Linked DNA regions of Ovis aries. The protein of the gene in region 2 interacts with the protein of the main gene of each other region in a pairwise test. Links are inferred from orthologs where the notes say so. Each region holds a gene or a part of one and is shown on either strand. Other genes may lie near its edges.

The links. The genes of interacting proteins can lie anywhere in the genome.
Region 1: the proteins of UBE2L6 (region 2) and RNF144A interact in a two-hybrid assay, tested with the Homo sapiens proteins (2 studies listed by BioGRID and IntAct). The link is inferred for Ovis aries from reciprocal best matches to the Homo sapiens genes UBE2L6 and RNF144A.

Annotation. Positions count from the first base shown.
Region 1 is NC_056056.1:16,762,704-16,773,043, reverse strand, and holds the start of RNF144A (E3 ubiquitin-protein ligase RNF144A), read right to left. Parts: upstream 6,520-10,340; 5' UTR 6,453-6,519; intron 5,986-6,452; exon of another isoform or gene 5,883-5,985; intron 1-5,882. UniProt on the Homo sapiens protein: E3 ubiquitin-protein ligase which accepts ubiquitin from E2 ubiquitin-conjugating enzymes UBE2L3 and UBE2L6 in the form of a thioester and then directly transfers the ubiquitin to targeted substrates.
Region 2 is NC_056068.1:79,627,346-79,637,450, reverse strand, and holds the end of UBE2L6 (ubiquitin/ISG15-conjugating enzyme E2 L6), read left to right. Parts: coding exon 1-11; intron 12-441; coding exon of another isoform or gene 442-479; exon of another isoform or gene 480-916; intron 917-3,269; coding exon 3,270-3,456; intron 3,457-6,609; coding exon 6,610-6,761; 3' UTR 6,762-7,347; downstream 7,348-10,105. Other genes in the region: SMTNL1 (smoothelin-like protein 1), read right to left, coding at 9,566-9,710. UniProt on the Homo sapiens protein: Catalyzes the covalent attachment of ubiquitin or ISG15 to other proteins. Functions in the E6/E6-AP-induced ubiquitination of p53/TP53. Promotes ubiquitination and subsequent proteasomal degradation of FLT3.

The sequences.
Region 1 (10,340 bases), on a different chromosome or scaffold from region 2:
ACAGGGCGCCCCCTTATCCAGTGACCTTTCTTCAAGGTCTACCCACCTTCACCCCACTTCCCAGCAGTCATTTCTTCACTGGAGTTCCCATAACACCCACCTGGGTGGGCCCTGGGGGGGTCACCGTCCCCCCATCAAGTCTCCCGGGCTGGGCCTTGTACAACCCCTTCCCTGTCTCGACCTCCCTGTCCATGGAGCTCAGGGCACCTGGCCCCCTCCAACCAGTCCATGCAAGGCTTGCCACCTAACTCTGGAACTGGGGTGCCTGCTGCCCCCCACGTCCAGGCAACCCAGGACTGTCCAGCCCGACCCCCAACGTCCCAAAGGCCCACCCGCGGGCTGGGTCTTGTGGTGCACCCCTGCACCACAAGCCAACATCCCACCCACCTCGGCCCCACACAGTCCTGCAGTGTCCTTCTCTGTGGCTGGACCTCCCCAAAGACAGAGCACATCTCTATTTGTTCAGATCCTGCTGGAGAACAGAACACGAGCCCGGATCCCATCTCCTCATCGATAACCTACTCCACGTTCCCTTCTGGACCAGGTTTCTTTCCCTTGGATTCAATCACGGAGCAAAAATGCACTTAGAGACACCATGACGGGCACTGAGGGAATGTTAAAATGAATAGGTCCCTACATTTGTAGGGCTTGCAATTTAGTAAAGGAAGGATAAAGTTACAGAAAAATTAGATTAGAGAGCTTAAGTGCAATTCCAGGTTCTGAAAAAAAGCCACCATAGAAACACCTGGTAGAGAAGAGGCTCCCAGCTCACAGCAGGAGGAAGATAGATGCTCGGGCTGGAAAGGGAAGGGATCTGATGGGGCTCCAGGGCCTGCATTTTTCCCTCTCTGCTCCACGCCTGCATTTCCTCCTCTGTAAGGCGCCACTGCTGGAGGAGTCGGCCTCCACGGCCCCCACATCAGTGATTCCACAGCTTTAAGAAAAAGGCAACATGCCTGTGGAGCCTGGAAGGATCATTAGGAATTTGACACCTGGAGGCGGAGGGAGAATGTTTCAGGGTCTAAGTGTGGAGGCTGAGAAGAGATCAGTGTGGAAAGACGGGCTGGAACCCAGGAGAAACTTACAGAGCCTCGATCCAGAGGCACAGCTGTGACTTCATGAGCAGCAGTGTCTCAGCCAGAAAGTTGTCAACTTTCTGGGTCAGTGGTGAGCCTGAAGAGGGTTGGGGAGTCGGGGAGAGACCCCACAGAGAAGGAACAAAGATTGTCCCGGGATGGACACACGCCTGAATAATTCAGGCTTCAGGACACCCACGGAAGAGATGATTTACCTTCAGGTGAAAGAGGCCCCTAACACAGAGGTCTGCACACTTTCCACCCATGAGCTGGGGGAGCAAAGAGCCTCTCTGTCCTGCAGGCTACCCCTCCTGCAGGCAGTGTGGGCAAGCCTCACCAGGGAGGGGGGCCGCAGGGGATGGCTGGCAGGGCTACTCTGGAATGACGGAGCAGCTGCAGAGAGGCCAACCATGGATGGGGAGCAGGACACACACATCACCTGCCGCCATCCGGGAACCACTTCCCAGACGCAGAGACAGAGCATCAGGGAACGGCTCCCTGCCTGCCTGTGAGGCTAGCAGGTCAGCGGGAATCCGAGAGGCAGTCTCTGCTGCTCCTTGGGTGCAGCGGGCACAGTCCCACCTCCCTCCAGATCACCCAGACGCTGGCACCCCAACATCAAACATGCCCTGTTTCAAAGGACTGCTTGAATACTTACTGACCTAAACTAAAATATGTCCCAGGTCAACCGCTGTGCGGGAGGCGTTCCAAGGACACACGTGAAGCCCTCTTTAACCAATCACCTAGCCTGAGAGACAGAGTCAGTATTTTGGTTTGGAATCCTCTACCCCAGCAGCACTGCTGTGTCCTGGCCTGCAGGGCGGAGCTGGCAGGAACAGGGGTGACCCCAGCTGCACTGGCATCCTTCAGAGGCCTCACTTCCAGCTCAGTGCTCACCCACCAGGTCGGGCTGCCACCCCCTGGGGAATCACGGCAGCCTTGCTCAGGTGACCCTGCAAGACAGAGCGAGCAGACCCTGGGCTGCAGCTGGGCTTCCTCTCATCTTCCCAGGACACCCTCTCCTCTACAAGCAAACTGGCGGGATGGGGGCAGGGGCGGGAGAGAGAGAAAAGAATCCAAAGAACTCGCGCTGGTGGCAGCTGGGGGTCTTGCTTTGAACAGGGTTCAGAGACAGGGTCACCCCCCAGGACAAATCCAGCACAGCTCCACTACACCAGCCGGAAGTTCCCTGCACCCCCAGGCAGCTTCTTGCTGCTCTCGGGCCCAGCCTGTGACCCTGACCTTCTCATCTGCCTGCCAACAGGGACTCGTCCTCAAGACCCAGCCTGCCTCACCAGCTCCAGAGGGCAAACTCCTCACCATGCTCCCCTGCACTGTGCGTACCGACCCCAGCGCTAGAACAATCTGTGACCGGCTGCTTCCCAACCCCTAGACTGTAGCCTCCTCAAGGACAAGGAATATACCTTTTTCCCAAGGGTCTCTGAGTTCCACGCCTGCTTTAGCATGTACCAAGTGCCTGGTATTGGACTCCATAAGGTCTCCTTAAGCCTCTCCCCTCCCCTGTAGATCGGGGAAGGTAGTGATGCCTGTCCTTCCTACGGGCCACCTGAGAATTGGGTCCACAGCACTCAGAGCCCTTCCCATCGGCACCTGGTGATGGAAAGGCTAAATGAACATCCACCGCTTCCTGGTTTTCCAAAGTCAGACCCCAAGAGACTGAATATCACCTAGTTGGCACAGTTCATCACGACATCCAGGAACTTACTTTTCTCCTAACCCTGCATCCAGCTCATCAGTTTGCTCCTTAGAGAAAGCCCTGCTCTCTCTGCACCTGCAGGCTTATCAGGAAACACCATCAGATCCAGGCTTTAGACTCCAGGAAAGAAAGAAGATACAGACTCTCATCATCAAGGAATGACCCTCTTCAAAGCCCCATCTCTCAACTTATCATCTCTGAGGAAAACCATTGTTCTGAAACTGATACATATATATACATATAATTTTTTATCTTGCAAAATTTCTTAAAAATGGTTGCATTATAAAGACTGATGCTCCTGGAAGAGACCTTTAAAGCCAGCACATTCTTATATCTGGATTTTGACAATCATTTAGACCAACATCTTAATTTCACAGTGGGGGGAAACTGGGGCCACACAAAGTAGTTAAGACACTTGCTCAAGGTCACAGAGCTGGGTTAGAAAGTTGTACAAGCTCTGTCCTTCAGGCGAACTCCCCAGCAGGTATATGAACAGTTGCTTCCATTTAATTTCTTCATCTAATTAAGAAAAGGTATGCATGTGTGTCAGTGATGCAGAAACAAAGGAGAGAGGAGACCGCTTCCAGAAATGACGACCTCGGATGACTTTTTCATCTCAAAGGAAAGAACCTTCAACTCAGTCCTTGGACCTCAAAGGTAGGAAACTCCCCCAAGTGAGTGTGGACAGGGTCCATCTTCCGTCGAAGCATCTCATTCTACTCACAGCCTCCTGGCTGCCCCTGACGGTCCACACCCCAGGGACCCAGGGCAGGTCCTCACTTGGCCAGATCCCCTGGAAGAGTCCCCTGGAGTGGCTCCAGACCGGCAGACCCCAAGGGCAGCGGACATGTCTCCATCCTCCCAGTTTAAGCATGGAGCCAGAGAGAGAACAGCAGACCATCCGGAGGGCTGGTGCGGGGCCCAAGCTGGCCACGGCTCTCTTTGTGGCCGCACCCCTGACCGCCCCCTCCAGTCCACAGTGTCCTCAGTCACAATGGGTGGCTGGGCTGGGGATCTGTGATGACCAATGAGCTCTGCGATGCTCACTCTGCGTGTGGACAGACTTTCCCTGTTTCCACACCAGAGAGAGAGAGGCTTCTAAGAGGGAGATGAAATTTGCACAAAAGAAGGCAGTGGGGCCAAACCATGAACCACAGTGGAAAACACAGGCGACGTGGCTCCCGGCGTCTGGCCGAATGGCACGTTCACCCCGCTGAATGCCAGCAGCTTCCACTGAAGTGTGGGAGGTCCCTTCCGAGTCCCAAACCACATGGAGTCCACAGGCCAAGCCCTGTACTCGGGCAAGGATCTGGGTGCGATGAGCACACTTGATTAAAGCCAGCACACTGGACAAGCTTATAAAACACAGGAGTTTGAAAGTGCTCATGCAAGTCTCAACACCCCCATCTTTCAGGCCCCTGGGAGCCCACATCATCACCCACTGGCCGCAGCTCTACCCCCAGCATCTGACTGGTCCATCCGTTTCTCTTCCAAGGATCCTGACATTTGAACCAGAGCTTCTTTTTACACAAACTGCCAAACTCCAATGGTGCTGGATCTGGAAAACTCCCCTCCCATTAAAATTGGGTTGTTTGCATCTTGCTTTTTCCTGAGGTTCTCAAGCCCTGCCTGACCTTTCTTGAGAAGTACCAGGGGGACTAAAAGCCACACCTTCCACAACAGACAGCAAGGTTCGCTCCCCACCCCTCAAGCCGCCTTCCCCACTCTCAGTGGGGGCCCAGCCCACTCTCTGAGCCATCCAGAACCATCGATGGCTCCCACTGCCACAGGATCAAGGCCATAAGTTGGTCTGGAATTCAACATTTCACCACCTACCCTCATCTGACCACAATAGTCATAACTCCTTTGCACTCTCTAGAAAATAATAAAAGTAAGATTTGAAAAGGCACTAGAAACCCTTTGAAGACCAGGAAAGGGGGATCTCAGTTCCCTTTCCTGAAAACCTGCTTTCGGCACCATCCCAGAGGGACCACATCCAAGGAGCACACGGGCTGCAGGTCCGAGGAAAAGGTCAAGGCTCACACCTGTGTCCCTTTTCTCCCTTCCTCCGCTGGCCAGTTCCCTCTGGCTACCCAGAACCTGTCCCACCTCGAAGCTCTGACTCAATTCCGTCTTCACCAGCAGTCCAGACCCTCCCTCCCCAACCTCTCCCTCCTGGGAAGTCCCAGGGTTCTCAGGCAGGAGGTCCTCACCTTGCTCTCTGGGTCTCACACTTTCTTTATCCACGGGGTTAATCTGCCCTGCCCCTGGCCAGATTGCCTGGAATGCGTCCTTATCAGATCCCTAGGCCCCACTCCTGGGGAAAGGGCTTCCTTCCCACCATCAAAGCAAGAAGTGAGTCTGTTTCCAGTTCGGAGACCAGATTCCCCTCATCCCACGGAGGGCAGGACCCCCTGGGGATAGTCCCCTGGGTTCCCTCCACCCAGCCTTAAGGCCTGGCAGGAGGCCAGCACAGACTATTTGTTGACTGGGCTTTTTATGATGATTGTGCCTGTTCGCTGGGAAGAGGGCAGGGAGAGAGAACTTTTGGAGCTGGACATCTACGAGATCATGAGGGCGCAGTGAGTAACCCCTTCCTCCTCGGGACCTGATCGTCCAGATTCGCAGGAGGCCCAGAGCTGGGTGCCCAGGACAGTGCAGGGGAGCTGGGGAGCCCGCCAGAGGGTAGGATGGGGGGTAGGAGGTGGCGGAGAACTTTCCGCGTGCCCCTGGGGAGGGGAAGGTTTGGAGGGACCCGGGCGGCCGTGGTCCTGGGAGCCGGGATGTGCACCGGGTAGGACGCGGCGCTGGCCCACCGCGGCCGGGCTGACCTGCCCGCCGCCCGCCCGCGCCCCGCCGGATCGCCTCGGCCAGACCCCATTGGCCGCCCCCGCCGCCCCCGGGACCCGCCGGAGCGCCGGGACGCGGCGGCACACGGGCCACCCAAGGGCAGGGCCGGGGAGGCGCCCCTGGCGGGGATGGACTGGCCGTCGCCGCCGCCGGATCCGCTCGGCACGGCCACCTCCCCCGGGGCCCTGGGCCGCGCCCGCCCCAGCGAGGCCGACACAAAGGGGCCGCGCGTCACCCACCTGATCCCGCGCGTCCGGGGTCCGGGGGGTGGGGGCCGCCGCTCCTGCTCGGCCGCGGGCGGGGCTCCGAGCGCCGAGGTCCGCGGTCCGAGCCCGGCTGTCCGCGCCGCCCCGCGCGGAGCCGCCCTTTATTCCCGCCCGCCCTCCAGCCGGGGCGCGCGGCCCGCGGGGGGAGACTGGGCGGCGGCGCCGCGCGGCACAAAGACGCGGGGCGCACGGGCTCGGCCCCCGCCCCGCCCGGCGCGCAGCGCCCCCTGCCGCCCGCGCGAGGCCCGCGGGGACCCAGGCTCCCCCAGGACCGCCCGGACCCCAGGCTGCCCGGAGGAACGCCGCGGCCTCGGTTAGCCGACGCTCGGGGGCACGAAGATCCGCAAGCTGGGAGAGGAATGGGGGACCCAAAACACTCTTAGCGCGGCGATAGAAAGAGAACCGGGCCGCCGCCTCGGACCAGATCCGGGCTCCCGGAACCTGGGCTCCATGCCCTGGCGGGGACCGTGAGTAAAGGCTGAGGCCCTTTCTAAGCTAGCATCTCATCATCGCGCCAAAGGTCTTTGCCTCCCGGTACCTGACCTGCTCGACGGATGGAGCACCGGGCTCGTCCAGTCCTTCGGCTCCGTGGATTCCCGAGTTCCAGTCTGGGCTGTTGACTTCCTCTGCCTTAGCGTTTAGAGCTTGTTAGAGCCAAACGTATTTGAAGGTAGAATTTTCCTGTAAGATTTCTCCTTGCCACTCCCCCTAGTAACTAGAAGTTACACAGGTATTTAATTCTGTCTCCAGAACGCGTACCTGAACAAAACCTATTGATGTGTATGAAAGAATGCCTCCTTCAATACATAGATTCGTCTCCCGAAGTATGGGAAAACCCACCCTCACTGCTTTCGTCCTTAACACCACACCCTCCAGTGTTGACTCTGCAGTCTAGTACCATCACCTAATGGGCCCAGTGACCTTAACTGAGCAAGTTAGTTAACTTCTTTGTGTTTTGATTTTCTTATCTGAAAACTACTAATGGTCATAGAAGTCATAGAGATCTTGGCAGGGATTAAATAAGGAAAATAAGCAAAGAGCAGTCTCAACATAACTGGAAAATTGTAAGGATTCCATAATCCTTAGCTGTACTTTGTCTCATTTCCCCCCAAACTACAATATTCTTAGCTATCTTGACACTGCATAATTTATCTTCCTCTACTACATACACATCTTTACAAAAAAAATAATAATAAATCTGTCTCATCTACACTGAGAAGTTATTCTGGTAACTTCTCAAATATGAATCCCTCCCCAAATATGAATGAGAGCTTCTGATGTCTCTGTCAAATTCTTTGCATAAATGTCATCATTCAAGAAAGAAGGCACAATGGGAAGAATTCTAACAACACTTGGTTACCCCAGCCTCTCACCAGAAGATGAAAATGGTTCTGCATAAACGCCTGAGCTTCACAGAAAATATATTCGGCCCTTCTGTACAGGGGTTGTGGAGCCAGGAAAGCACTGGTGCGATACTGCTTATGAATGGAGGGATGGATGGATGAGAGCAAGTATCCGGGGAAGTGATGAATGTGTCCACACTGATGCAGATGCTTCTGTAGTTACCAGGGGCTTGGGAATCAAGCCTGGGGGAGAGGGGAGGAGGGAGGTTGGCAAGGAGAGGGTTGATGTATAAAACCAACCTCTCATTCAATTGTGTCATTGAGCCTTTGTGTCTCTTGCAAGTGCTTAAGCAGTGATGTGTATGTGTGTGACTGTGTGTGTGAGGTCATTCCCATGTTTGTTTGTCTTTGTTAACCTGCCTGTTGTTGGGGAGACGGGGAAAGTCAGCATCATCATTGATAACACAGTTTGCAGCAGGCCGTGCCCTGAATTTCAAGTTTCAGGACTTTTCTCTATGAAGTCTTCCTAACCTATCACTGCTTTCCCCATCTCCAGATGTCTGGAGTTGTGTAATAGTTCTTTTGTTTCCATGGCATCTGTTAGACTTCATGTTTTGGATATTTACTGTCTGATTTTTAGGTCATAAGAGTCTGTAGATGAGAAATGAAGTAAATTTTCTATTGAATTTCCCAGAGGGCCTTGGGCATAGTAAGTGCTCAGTAAATGTAGATGAGTCCTCTGCCCTGAGCCGTGTCCTTCCTAGTTCTCTCCAACGAGCTGCCTGTATCTCTCGAGGTCACATTCACCCATCACTGATTGATTTTCAGTCCATTCCTCGCATGGCTTTCAACCGTCTCACCCAGACGTTTGTTGTGTCAAGCTCATTTTTAAAAATACCCACTGTTGCTAAGCACTTGTGCCTGTAGGCAGCATGACTCATGATTCTGAAGAAGCCCCTTGTTGATTACCTACTGAGGGCAAGATTTTGTGCTAGGTTGTTGCCAGGGAGTCAATGCCCCAGCAAATGGTCCAGAGGCTGGAGAAATGGAAGTCCATTAGGAAGTTCCTTCTCTAGCTACAAAACTGAGTGAAGATCAGGATTCATTCGGTGGCTTAAATTTAAACCTTTTCAGGCGGTAGAGTTTGCATGGGTTCATGATCACACATTCTGAAAGTCCAGAATATTCACATTTCTTTAATTTTAAAAATTGCCTTAAAGTCAATTCCTTATTTCTGGAAGGTAGCAGGCAATTAAATGTCAGCTGTTGCTCTGATTGTCTCTCCCTGGAGGCCCATGGGTCCCTGGCGGGTTTTATGGTGCTGGGATCCAGGGTGTAACCCTTCATGCTCAGCCCACCTCCCTGTCTATCTAGAAGGCTCCTTCCCTGAGTCCTGGGTCCCTTCCAAGCAGGCTACGCTCAGTTTCTCTACCAGGGGCCCAGCTTCCCAGGTGGGCCAGAAAGCTGCAAGTTTCCTCACCTCCCAGGGCAATGCAAAGTCTCTGCTGCTCTCAAGGACTCTTAGGAAAGCTTTTCTTGTCCAACCCCTGCCTCCATTCCCACAAACACCTCCCCTCTATCTTTCCCAGCCTTGTTGTTCAGTCGCTAAGTCGAGTCTGACTCAGTGATTCTATGGACTGCAGCATGCCAGGTTTCCCTGTCCTTCACTATCTCCCGAAGTCTGCTGTAACATGCATCCATGGAGTCGGTGATGCCATCCAACAATCTCATCCTCTACTGCCACCTTCTCCTCCTGCCCTCAGTCTTTCAGAGGACTTCCCTGGTGGGTTCAGATGGTAAAGAATCTGCCCACAATTCTCAAGGAAGAAAAAATAAAATTTAGGAAAGATAACACATGGAAAGGGGGAAATTCATCCTTGTAATCGCATAGAAAGAGCACTGCTAGGGGTAAATTGGGCTTCCCTCATAGCTCATTCAGTAAAGAATCCACCTGCAATGCATGGGACCCTGGTTCAATTCCTGGATTGGGAAGATCCGCTGGAGAAGGGATAGGCTACCCACTCCGGTATTCTTGGGCTTCCCTGGTGGCTCAGCTGGTAAAGAATCTGCCTGCAATGCAGGAGACCTGGGTTCGATCCCTGGGTTGGGAAGATCCCCTGGAGAAGGGAAGGGCTATCCACTCCAGTATTCTGGCCTGGAGAATTCCATGGACTGTATAGTTCATGGGGTTGCAAAGAGCCAGACACGATTGAGCGACTTTCACTTTCAGGGGTGAATTGTGTCTCCAGATTCACAGGTTGAAGTGTTAGCCTACCCCACCTCCTGACATGAACTCGTATGGAAATAGGGTCATTGCAGATGGAATTAGTCCAGATGAGGACATACTAACTCAGTGAGGACATAGACTCAATGAACATCAGTTTGAGTAACCTCCGGGAGTTGGTAATGAACAGGGAGGCCTGGCGTGCTGCAGTCCATGGAGTCGCAAAGAGTCGGACACGACTGAGCGACTGAACTGAACTGAACTGAGGACGTACTGGAGAAGAGTGGGCCCTAATCCACCATGACTGGTGTCTTCATACAAAGGGTAAATTTCAAGGGACTTCCCTGGGGGTCCAGTGGCTAAGACTCCATGCCCCAATGCAGGGAGCCTGGGTTCCACCTCCGGTCAGGGAACTAGGTACGACAAGCCGCAGCTAAGAGTTTTTGTGCCACAACTAAAGATCCTGAGTTCTGCAACTAAGAGCTGGCATAGCTGAATAAATAAGTAGAAACAAATATTAAAAAACAAAGGGTAAATTTCAAAACAGGTACATAAAGGGAGCACTCTGGGAACATGAAGGGATGGAGATAAATTAATTTATGGAGATAAATTAAGCATCACTGAAGATTCCACCTGACCCCTGGAAGCTAGGAGAAGACCTGGAACAGCTTTCAGGTTCCTCTCAGCCCTCAGGAGGAATAAACCTTGCTGGCCCCTTAATCTCAGACTTCTAGCCTCCATAACTGTGAGACAGTAAACTTCCATCATTTAAGCCACTGGGCCAATAGTATTTTGTTTCAGCACCCCCCAGCTCACTAAACAAACAGCTAGACAGTGCCCATGTGTGACTAAAATTTGGAGAAT
Region 2 (10,105 bases):
TGCTGCTGCCTGTGAGTGTCTGCGGGGCCTGCTGGGACTGGACCACTTAGGGCCGGGGCTGGGGCCGCGAGGGCTGGACCGGGCAAGGACTTTCCTGCCTGAGAGTCCTTTCTTCTTAGTTTTGGCTGCACCGGGACTTCGCTGCTGCACGCGGGCGCTCTCTAGCTGCGGCGACTGGGCCCCAATCTCTAGTTGGGTGCCGAGGCTTCTCACTGGGGTGGCTTCTCTCGCTTCGGAGCACGGGCTCACTAACCAGCACACTGCCTTAGCTGCCCCACAGCATGTGGGGTCTTCCCGGGCCAGCGAGGAACCCGTGTGCCCTGCCCTGGCGGGTGGAGTCCTAGCCACTAGCCCATCAGGGAAGTCATAGAACCCTTTTTTCACTGGAGATAATCGTTGGCAGAGGTGTCTCTGTCTACATTGATTGCTTCTGACGTCCAGGCCAACTGATGCAGAGGCTAAAAGGCCTTTGGGCTTAGTCGGAGACCCCTTCTTCAAGCCAGTAGCTACCGAGCCTGTCATGGAAGCTTCGGCAGACAAAGAGCATCAAAAACAACAACAAAAGGCTTCCTTGTTGACTAAGTGGTAAAGAATCCGCCTGCCAGTGCGGGAGACATGGGTTCAATCCCCGACCCGGGAAGATCCCACACACCCGGAGCAACCAAGCGTTGAGCCTGTGGTCTAGAGCCTGGGCCCACAGTGCCGGAGCCCACCTGCCACGACTGCTGAAGCCCTAGAGCCCCCCCTTTGCTGAGGCCTCACCCCTGGTCTTGGGTCTGTGCCCCAGCCCCAGCCTCTGCACGGTATCGAGAACACATGTTCTTTATCTGCCCAGCATTTGCTCGGACACACCCATGACTGCCACAGCTCCCTTTCTGCCTTCTGCTCAGGAAGAGGGAATTTCTTAAAACCTTCACTCCGAACTTCCGTATGTCATTCTTTTTTCAAAGGCTTATTTATTTGGCTGCGCCGGGTCTTAGTTGCGGCCTGTGGGATCCGGCTCCCTGACCAGGGGTCGAACGTGGGCCCCCTGCACTGGGACCACGGAGTCTTAGCCTCCAGGCCGCCGGGGAAGTCCCACGTATGTCGTCCTGACGGTCATTCTCCTGCCTTCTCTGCCACGAAGGTTCTGAAAGGGTTTGGAGCTTTCGCAGCAGCCTGGAGGCCCCTGTGTGCTGTGCTGGGCTCATCCGAGCCCTGGGGTCCCCCCCACTAGGGGTGTGGGTTACTGCTCCCGTGTGGAACAGTCCAGTCGACCGTGCTGAGTCCCCATCGGGCACTGTTGCTGTGACCCTGGGCAGGTCACTTGTGTATGCTGAACTTGTTTCTTCTGGAAATCCTGATGCTAATACTATGAGTTCTCAAAGTACGTACCCTAAGAGCTGACACATAAGGAGTGCTTGCCATGTGCCTGGCCATATTCTAGATCCCTGACGTGAATTAGCACAGGACTTCTCTGGGGGCCCGGTGGCCAAGACCCTGTGCTCCTCAGCGCAGGGCACCTGGGTTCCATCCCTGGTCAGGGAACTAGATTCCGCATGTTGCAACTAAGACTCAGTGCAGCCAAATACATAAATAAATAGTAAAAAAAAAATAAAATAAAATAAGCTGGTGCACTCTTCACTACCTTAGAAGAAAAGTGAATCGACTCATTTAATTGTCGGGCAAGCCCTGTGGAGGAGGTTGTGACTCTCTGTAAGGAGAGCACAGAGATGTTCGGCAGCTCGCCTAAGGTCGCACAGGCATGGGGTTGACAGAGCGACGGCTCACACTCCAGCCGCGTGGCCTGAAGCCCACGTAACCCCTACACCCTGCTGCATGGGCTAATGCGTGTCAAGCCCTTAGCAGCAGGCAGCACAGAACGGGTGCAGGAAAGCCTTCCAGTTGCTAAAGATCCAGTGGACGGAGGAGCCTGGAAGGCTGCCGGTCCATGGGGTCGCTAAGAGTCGGACGTGACTGGGCGACTTCACTTTCACTTTCACTTCCATGCATTGGAGAAGGAAATGGAAACCCACTCCAGTGTTCTTGCCTGGAGAATCCCAGGGACGAGGGAGCCTGGTGGGCTGCCGTCTCTGGGGTCGCACAGAGTCGGACACGACTGAAGCGACTTAGCAGCAGCGGCAGCAGCAGAGGGTCTTCTGCTGGCTCCTGGCAACGCTTAGGCACTCCGGTTCCGAATTGTTGTTTTAAGGTGGTAAAATACCCGTAATAGTATGCACTGCCTAAGCTCTGCTGGGTCTCTGTCGCTGCAGAGGCTTTCCCCTAGTCGCAGTGAGCGCCGGCTACTCTCGGTTTGTGCAGCACGGCTCTAGGGCGAGACGGCTTCGGGATATGCACTCCCGGGCTCTAGGGCACAGACCCAGTGCTTGTGGCGCCCGGGCTTAGCTGACTTCCCTGGTGGCTCAGACAGTAAAGCGTCTGCCTGCAATTCGGGAGACCCAGGTTCGATCCCTGGGTCAGGAAGATCCTCTGGAGAAGGAAATGGCAACCCACTCGAGTATGCTTGCCCCGGAAATCCCATGGATGGAGGAGCCTGGTGGGCTACAGTTCATGGGATCACACAGTCAGAGACGACTGAGCAACTTCACTTTCATGGACTTAGTTGCTCTGGGACATATGGGATTTTTCTGGACCAGGGATCGAACCCATGTCTGCAGGCGGATTCCTAACCACTGGGCCACCAGACAAGTCCTAGAAAAATGGTCAAGAAAGTAAATCCTAAAAACTCTCACCCCGAGGAGAAATTTTTTTTTCCTTATTCTTTCTCTTCGTTTTTTTATATGAGAAGATGGGTGTCAGCTGAACCTATTGTGGTAATTCTTTCACAGCATATGTGAATCTAACCATCAAGCTCGACGCCTTAAGCTTAGTGATGTGTATCAGTTATTTTTCAATAAAACTGGAAAGATGTTAATTACTGATATAATAAAAAGAAGCTAAGGTGGTCCTGAGGATGTCTCCAGTCAAACTGCACCCATTTCTCAAGGGAGGAAGCTGAGGCTTAGGGGTGGGAGGCAGCTGGCCCTCGGGCACACAGCAGAAGCCAGGATCTGACTCGTGGGAGTGCCAGGCCAGGGGGCTCTGACGCACAGTCCAGTTGCTACGTGGGTGCACGTGCCGTCTGTGTCTGCATTCACGGTCCTTCCTCGGAGTGGAGCAGAGGAAGCCTGGGACGCTGGGGCGGGGCGGGGAGGGGGAGCCAGGCCCAGGTCCTGGGGGAGGAGGGCAGCGGTGCCTCTGCCCAGAGCATGACTCCTTCTCTCGCACAGGAGAGGCCACCCTACAACCTCAAGGCCTTCAGGCTGTGCATCAGCTTCCCGAGGGAGTACCCGTTCCAGCCCCCCACGGTGAAATTCACCACCAGGATCTACCACCCCAACGTGGACAGGGACGGGAGGGTGTGCCTGCCCCTCATCAACAAGAAGAACTGGAAAGCCAGCACCAAGACCTGCCAAGGTGGGCTGGGTCCCGCCAGGACAGGGCCCCAGACCGAGTCGGGGCGGGGGTCACGGGGCCACTTTCGTGTCGGTGGCTCCTGTTTACTGCCGTTCAGTCACTAAGTTACGCCGGACTTTGTGACCCCAGGGACAGTAGCCCCCAGGCTCCTCTGTCCGCGGAGTTTCCCAGGCAAGAAACTACCAGGGCTTCACTGGGGGCTCAGATGGTAAAGAGTCTGCCCGCAGCGCAGGAGACCCAGGTCTGATCCCTGGGTCAGGAAGATCCCCTGGAGAAGGGAATGGCCGCCCACTCCACGATCCCTGCTTGGAAAATTCCATGTACAGAAGAGCCTGTACAGTCCATGGGGCTGCAAAGAGTCAGACGTGAGCGAGTGACTGAATTCGCTGAATTCGCTTGTTTAACTCAATGAAACTAAGCCATGCCGTGTGAGGCCACCCAAGACGGGCAGGTCATGGTGGAGAGGTCTGATAGAATGTGGGCCACTGGAGAAGGGAATGGCAAACCACTTCAGTATTCTTGCCTTGAGAACCCCATGAACAGTATGAAAAGGCAAAAAGATAGGGCACTGAAAGAGGAACGTCCCAGGTGGGGAGGTGCCCAGCATGCAACTGGAGGTCAGTGGGGAAATAACTCCGGAAAGAACGAAGGGCCAGAGCCAAAGCAGAAACAGTCCGCAGCTGCGGATGGGACTGGTGGTGGACGCAAGGTCCGGTGCTGTAAGCACAGCCGAAGGGCGGGCCTAGCGATGACGTGCGTCGCTTCAGCAGGCACTCTGACACTGCGCTGAAAGCTTCACACGGTGTCTTTTTAGTTCACTTTTTTTTTTAACTGAAGTATGGTTAATTTTGAGGGAAGGAAATGGCTATCCACTCCTGTATTCTTGCCTGGAAAACGCCATGGACAGAGGAGCCCGGCAGGCTAATATAGTCCATGGGGTTGCAAAGAGTCGGACACGACTGAGCGACTTCACTTTACTTTTACGGTTCATTTACAATGTCGTGTTGGTTTATGGCACACAGCAAAGTGATCCGGGGATCCACGTGAATATGCGTTCCTTCCACACTCTTTCCCACTGCGTCTATCACAGGTGCTGAGTGGTTTCCCAGGCGACACAGCAGGGCCTTGCTGACTGTCTTTGCGTGCAGCAGTTCGTATCTGCTCACCTCTAGCTCCTGGTGTCGCCCTCCTCTCCTGCTTCCCCTGGGTCTGTGAGTGTTTCTGCTTTGTACGTGAGTTCACGTGTATCTTTTTACGATTCCACATGTAAGGGATATCATACGGTATCTGTCCTTCTCTGCCTGACTTCCTTCGCTTGATACGGTGATCTCCAGGTCCATCCGTACGTTGCTGCAGATGGCGTCCTTTCACTGTGGTTTGCGGCTGAGTACTGTTTCCCGGTGCGTGTCTACCGCGTCTTCTTTACCCGCTTGTCTGTCGGTGGGCATTTAGGTCGCACTCATGTCCTGTCTGTTGTAAGCAGTGCTGCTGCGGACGTTGGGGTGTGCGTAGCTTTTTGAGTTAGCGTTTTCTCTGGGTATATGCTCGGGTGCGATTGGTGGATCGTGCGGCAACTCTACTTTTATTTTTTTAAGGAACCTCCTACTGGTCTCCATAGTGGCTTCACCAATTTACATATCCCACCAACAAAGTAGGAGGGTTTTCTCTTCCACCCACCCTCTCCAGCATAAAAAGTCACTTTTTTCTTCCAGATGGTATTTTTGGTGTACATCCATGGATGACAAATTGGAATTATACTGGATTAATCATAATTCAGGAATACAAAAATGGAGCTGATGGCCCTTGAGGACTTGGTCTCACATACGTCCCTGCACCACTGAGAACCTGAACTTTCTAACCCAGGGCAATCAGCCATTTTTAACACATCAGCCTCATTCAGTCCCCCAGAAGCCCCTTGAAATAGTGCTCTCATCGGCCCCATCAGGACACGGGCCTGTGAAAGCTGAGCTCTTACCTGAGCTGGCAGACGGCAGAGCTGGGATTCGAGGCCTCGCTTGGCCGGCTCTGAACCGCGCGGCTCAGCAGAACTTTCTTCAGTGATGGAGTCGGTCTATAGCGGCCCTGTCCAATGCCACAGACACTGGCCCCATGTAGCTTTCAAGCACTTGAAGTGTGGCTGTTGGGACTATGAACTGCATTCCTAATTGTCATGAATTTCAATTAATTTAAATCAAGATGACCACACATGGCTGCAGCGACAGGTCAGGCACTGTGGCCCTAGTCGTGGACGTAATCAGTATGTGATCAGTCCTGTTTCTGGGGGCTTCCCTGGTGGTCTAGTGGCTGAGACTCCACACTCCCAATGCAGGGGGCCTTGATTTGATCCCTGATCAGGGGACTAGATCCCACAGGCTGCAACTAAAGATCCATAATGAAGACCCAGGGAGGCCAGATAAATAAATAAATGCTTTTAAAAAATATCCCACCTCTGGATCAGCTCGGGAGTTCTTAACCCTGGAAACGAGTGCTGGGGAGAGGCAGAGGCGTGGTCCTTGGTGAGCACCAGAGCTCTGCAGAGCGCCCCGAGCCCAGGGCCGCACGCTTGTGTGCATGCCTACGGGCACAAGGGGGGGGCACTGCCTTCCCGGTTCCCAAAGTCACCCGTGAAAGATTTCAAGCCACAAGGCAGGAGTGGTTTCCAGTCTTGAGCCTCGGAACCCTTTTTTCCCCAAATAAAAAGTTTTGGAGTCCTGTTACCACCTTCGTGGACATGAATTTGAGCAAACTCCAGGAGATAGTGGAAGACAGAGGAGGCTGCGTGCTGCAGTCCTCAGGGTCTCAGAGAGTCAGACGCAACAAAAGCAGAGTTCTGGCTGAAAAGGGAACAGAACTCAGACACCGCATTGATTTCACCGACCCTCGCGACCCTTGGGGCCCCATTTGAACAGCTTCTGTGACACCGTGGAACACAGGTTGGAAACCGCGGAGATAACTGCTCATGAGAGCTTCGGACGCCGTCATCGGGGACCCTGAGTGGCATCTGATTTGCTCGTAGAGAGCAAATCCTAGTAGAGCCGTCCTAAGGCGTGGGTCGGTGTGGGTTCCGGGAGGATCTGGGAGTGGGCGGCATCGCTTCCTTCCCAGGAGTTTTTTCTCTCCCTCCTGATGTCCTGATCTGACTTCTCTCCCCAGTCCTGGAGGCCCTCAACGTGCTGGTGAATCAGCCGGAGCCGGGAGAGCCCGTTCGGCTAGAGCTCGCGGAGCAGCTGACGCAGGACCCAGAGCTGTTTGACCGGACGGCCCAAGAGTTCACCCTCCAGTTTGGAGTGGACCGGCCCTCCTAAGCCGGCTTCTGACCCGCCTGCTTTCTGTGTGACGGATGGACGCCCCTCATGGACGGGGGGCCAGAGCCTCTTTGCGATCTTGCACTTGCTCGTGTCTTCCAAGATTTCCTTCTTAGGTTGTGTGTGTGTGTGTGTGTGTGTGTGTGTGTGTGTGTGTGTGTGTGTGTGTGTACGGGGAGGGGACTGCCGTTATGAGTGTGGACCCACTGGCCACAGATGTGCTTTCCCCAGCCCCTTTCTCTGCCCCAGAGCCAGAGGCATTTAGGTTTGCAGACTCAAAATCCAGCTCTCCAGTGCTCCGTGATGGGGTTCCTGGTCCCACCGGTTGGTCCATCTTAGAGACTCAGGTCACCTTCCCAGCCAGATGAGCAGCCAACCCGAATGCCCGCCCCTCACAGAGCCCTGCTTTGGGGCAGCAAGTCAGGTGGGATGCATACCAGGAGGGGGTCAGGGGGAGGAGGGACTCTTAAAACCAAGTGCTCTGGGGATGGAGCGGTTGCATTGTAGACCTGTATGGATTTAGGTGCAAAACCTTTGTTTCCACTGATGAATCATAAAGTGAAGAATCTCCTCTCCACCCCAGAAATCTGACTGTACTGTCTTTCGTTTTGTTTTTAAAGATTTACTTATGTATTTCATTTTTTGGCCGAGCTGGGACCGTCACTGCTGGGTTTCCTGGAGTCGCGGCAAGGGGGAGCGACACGCTAGTTGCAGTTCCTGGAGTCTCGGCAAGGGGGAGCTCCTCGCTCGTTGCAGCCCCGGGCTTCCCATCGCACGTCCCCTCTTGCCGAGCGCGGACCCCAGGCTCACGGACTCAGCAGCTGCAGCTCATGGGCTCGGTAGTTGTCGCACGTGGGCTTAGTTGCCCCGCGGCCTGTGCAGTCTTCCCCGACGAGGGATCGAACTGGCGTCCCTTGCACTGCAAGGCGGAGTCTTAACCCTGGGCCACCAGGGGAGCCCCGACTCCATGGTTTTTAAACCACTGCTGTCCGGTTTGGTGGCCGGTTCCTAGCGTCCGGCTTTACGCCAGGAGGGGTTTCCCTTCCAGCTTGAGTCCAAGGGGAGCCATGGAGACCGTGAGTTTGCTCAGCTGTTAAACACAAGGGTCCACCCCTGAGCGTTCACTGAGGGGGCAAGTGGTTCATCAGGAGGAGGCTTGTTTAGCTGCAGTCGAATGAAAGATGCTTGCTTCCGGATCAACGGAGGGCTCGCGGGGCACGGATCCTTGTGTGACCCCAAGCGCTGTGGGAAAAGCTGGCTGTGAGGGACCCGGCCATCCTCAGCGAGAGGGGTCGTAGACCCACCCACAGGGGTAACGCCCCCTGTTTTATACAGCAGGCGACCAAGGCTAACCGAGCCCTCCAGTGGGTTGCCACATCCCCTCTGCTGACCTGGGCGGAGTCTGCACCTCTGCCACAGTGCCGAGCTGGCGGCTTTCATTTCTGTGTTTCTCCTGAGCCGCTCTCATCAGCGCACATGCTCCCAACGGCTGATAAAGCCAGACAGGATTGTTAGGAAATTAGGGTCAGCTCTGGGCTTCCCTGGTGGCTCAGCGGTAAAGAATCTGCCTGCAAGGCAGGAGGTCTCGCTGGAGGAGGGCATGGCAACCCACTCCAGTATCCTTGCCTGGAGAATCCCATGGACAGAGGAGCCTGGCGGGCTGCAGCCCACGGGGTCGCACTGAGTCGGGCGCGACAGAAATAACTAAGCAAGCAGCTGCAGCAGCGTACTCAGCTCTAGGGCTCGTCTCTAGTGAGCAGTGGAAAACAGAAACAAAACCTCAGCCAGAGTTCAGGGATTATCTTGGCACAAAGGAGGAGCTTCTGGAGGAGCTTCTAAAGCCACTGGCATTTTTTTTTTTTTCCCATATTTTTGGCCGCACCACACAGCATGCAGGATATTAGTCCCCTGACTTGGGATTGAATGCATGCCCCCTGCAGTAGAAGTGTGGGCTCTTAACTACTGGACTGCCAGGGAAATCCCCAACCACTGGCCCTTCAGAGACAGAACATGGAGTATCTTAGGGTCAAAGGAGTCACCTCCAGGCCCCATGAGCCGAGTCTGAGTGAGGGTTCTAGAGAATCTTCTCCTCCAGTCCCTGTCCTGGAATTCCCTAATGTAGGAGAAGTGTGGAAAGAGGGAAGAACGTGGGAAGGTGCCACCCGTGGCTGGAAGCGTGAGGATGTCGCTTCTTTGGGCCACTGCCTCAGTTCAGTCGCTCAGTTGTGTCCGACTCTCTGCGACCCCATGAGTCGCAGCACGCCAGGCCTCCTTGTCCGAGAACGTGTATGTGGCAGGCCCCAGGCCAGGTCTTTGGTCCTTTGTTGTCATTGTTAGTCGCTAGATTGCTAAGTCACGTCTGACTCTCTTTGACCCCATGGACTGCAGCGCGCCAGGCTCCTCCGGCCCCCACTGTCTCCCAGAGTTTGCTCAAAATCATGACCACTGGGCCAGTGATACTGTCTACGTAATCCCATTTAACCTTCACAGCACCTGCGGGATTTTGAGCTGCTATTATCCCCGTTCAGATGGCGAGCTGAAGCTCAGAGAGCTTTGCTCACTGCCCAGGGACACACAGCTTCTTGGCACAGATGCCTGTCACGGTTGTTGAGAAAATCACCTCAGGTGAGGAAAGCGGGCAGCCGGGGCTGCTTATCCCAGAGTGAGAGAGGTCCCCAGCAGGGTAGGGAGGGAGCCCCGGGGAGCCAGACGGGATTTTACAAAAGAGCCTTTAATGCAGTTAAGACTGGGGCCGCCACCTCCGTGGAGCTGAAGGGGGCTCCGGGCCAGCACCGGCCAGCCCCTCATTTCTTCTTGGTCTTCACCAGCCCCTTCTGCACGAGGCTGCGGTACAGCTCCTGGATGTAGGTGTAGACGCACTTGGAGTCGGGCACCGCCAGCCGCACCATGTCGTCCACCTCCAGCAGCTGGGCGCAGTCGGCCAGTTTCCTGAGGGGCAGACGGGGAGGGGTGAGAGGTGGGGTTCAGAGAGCCGACAGGGAAAGAGGTGGGGGTCTAAGGGACGGGGTGGGGCAGCCCCCCAAGGATGAAGCCCGCAGGACTGTGTGCGGCAGCGCTGGGACTTCGTCTGGCGCAACTATCCCATTGTACAGATGAGACAGCTGAGGCCCAGCGGAGTCAAGACTCAGACTCAGGTTTTGATTCCAAAACCTGTGTGTTTATGCCCCACGTGTCGTCACGTGGGAGCGGGGCCCTCCGGTCTGGGGTTCCGCGGTAACCCACCCGTCTGTGTGCCCCTGTGTCCGTCCTCTGGAAGGACAGGCCCCGCGGGAGGAGTGAACAGCACAGAACGATAATCCTGGCTACAGTGTGGGCTTGCAGCC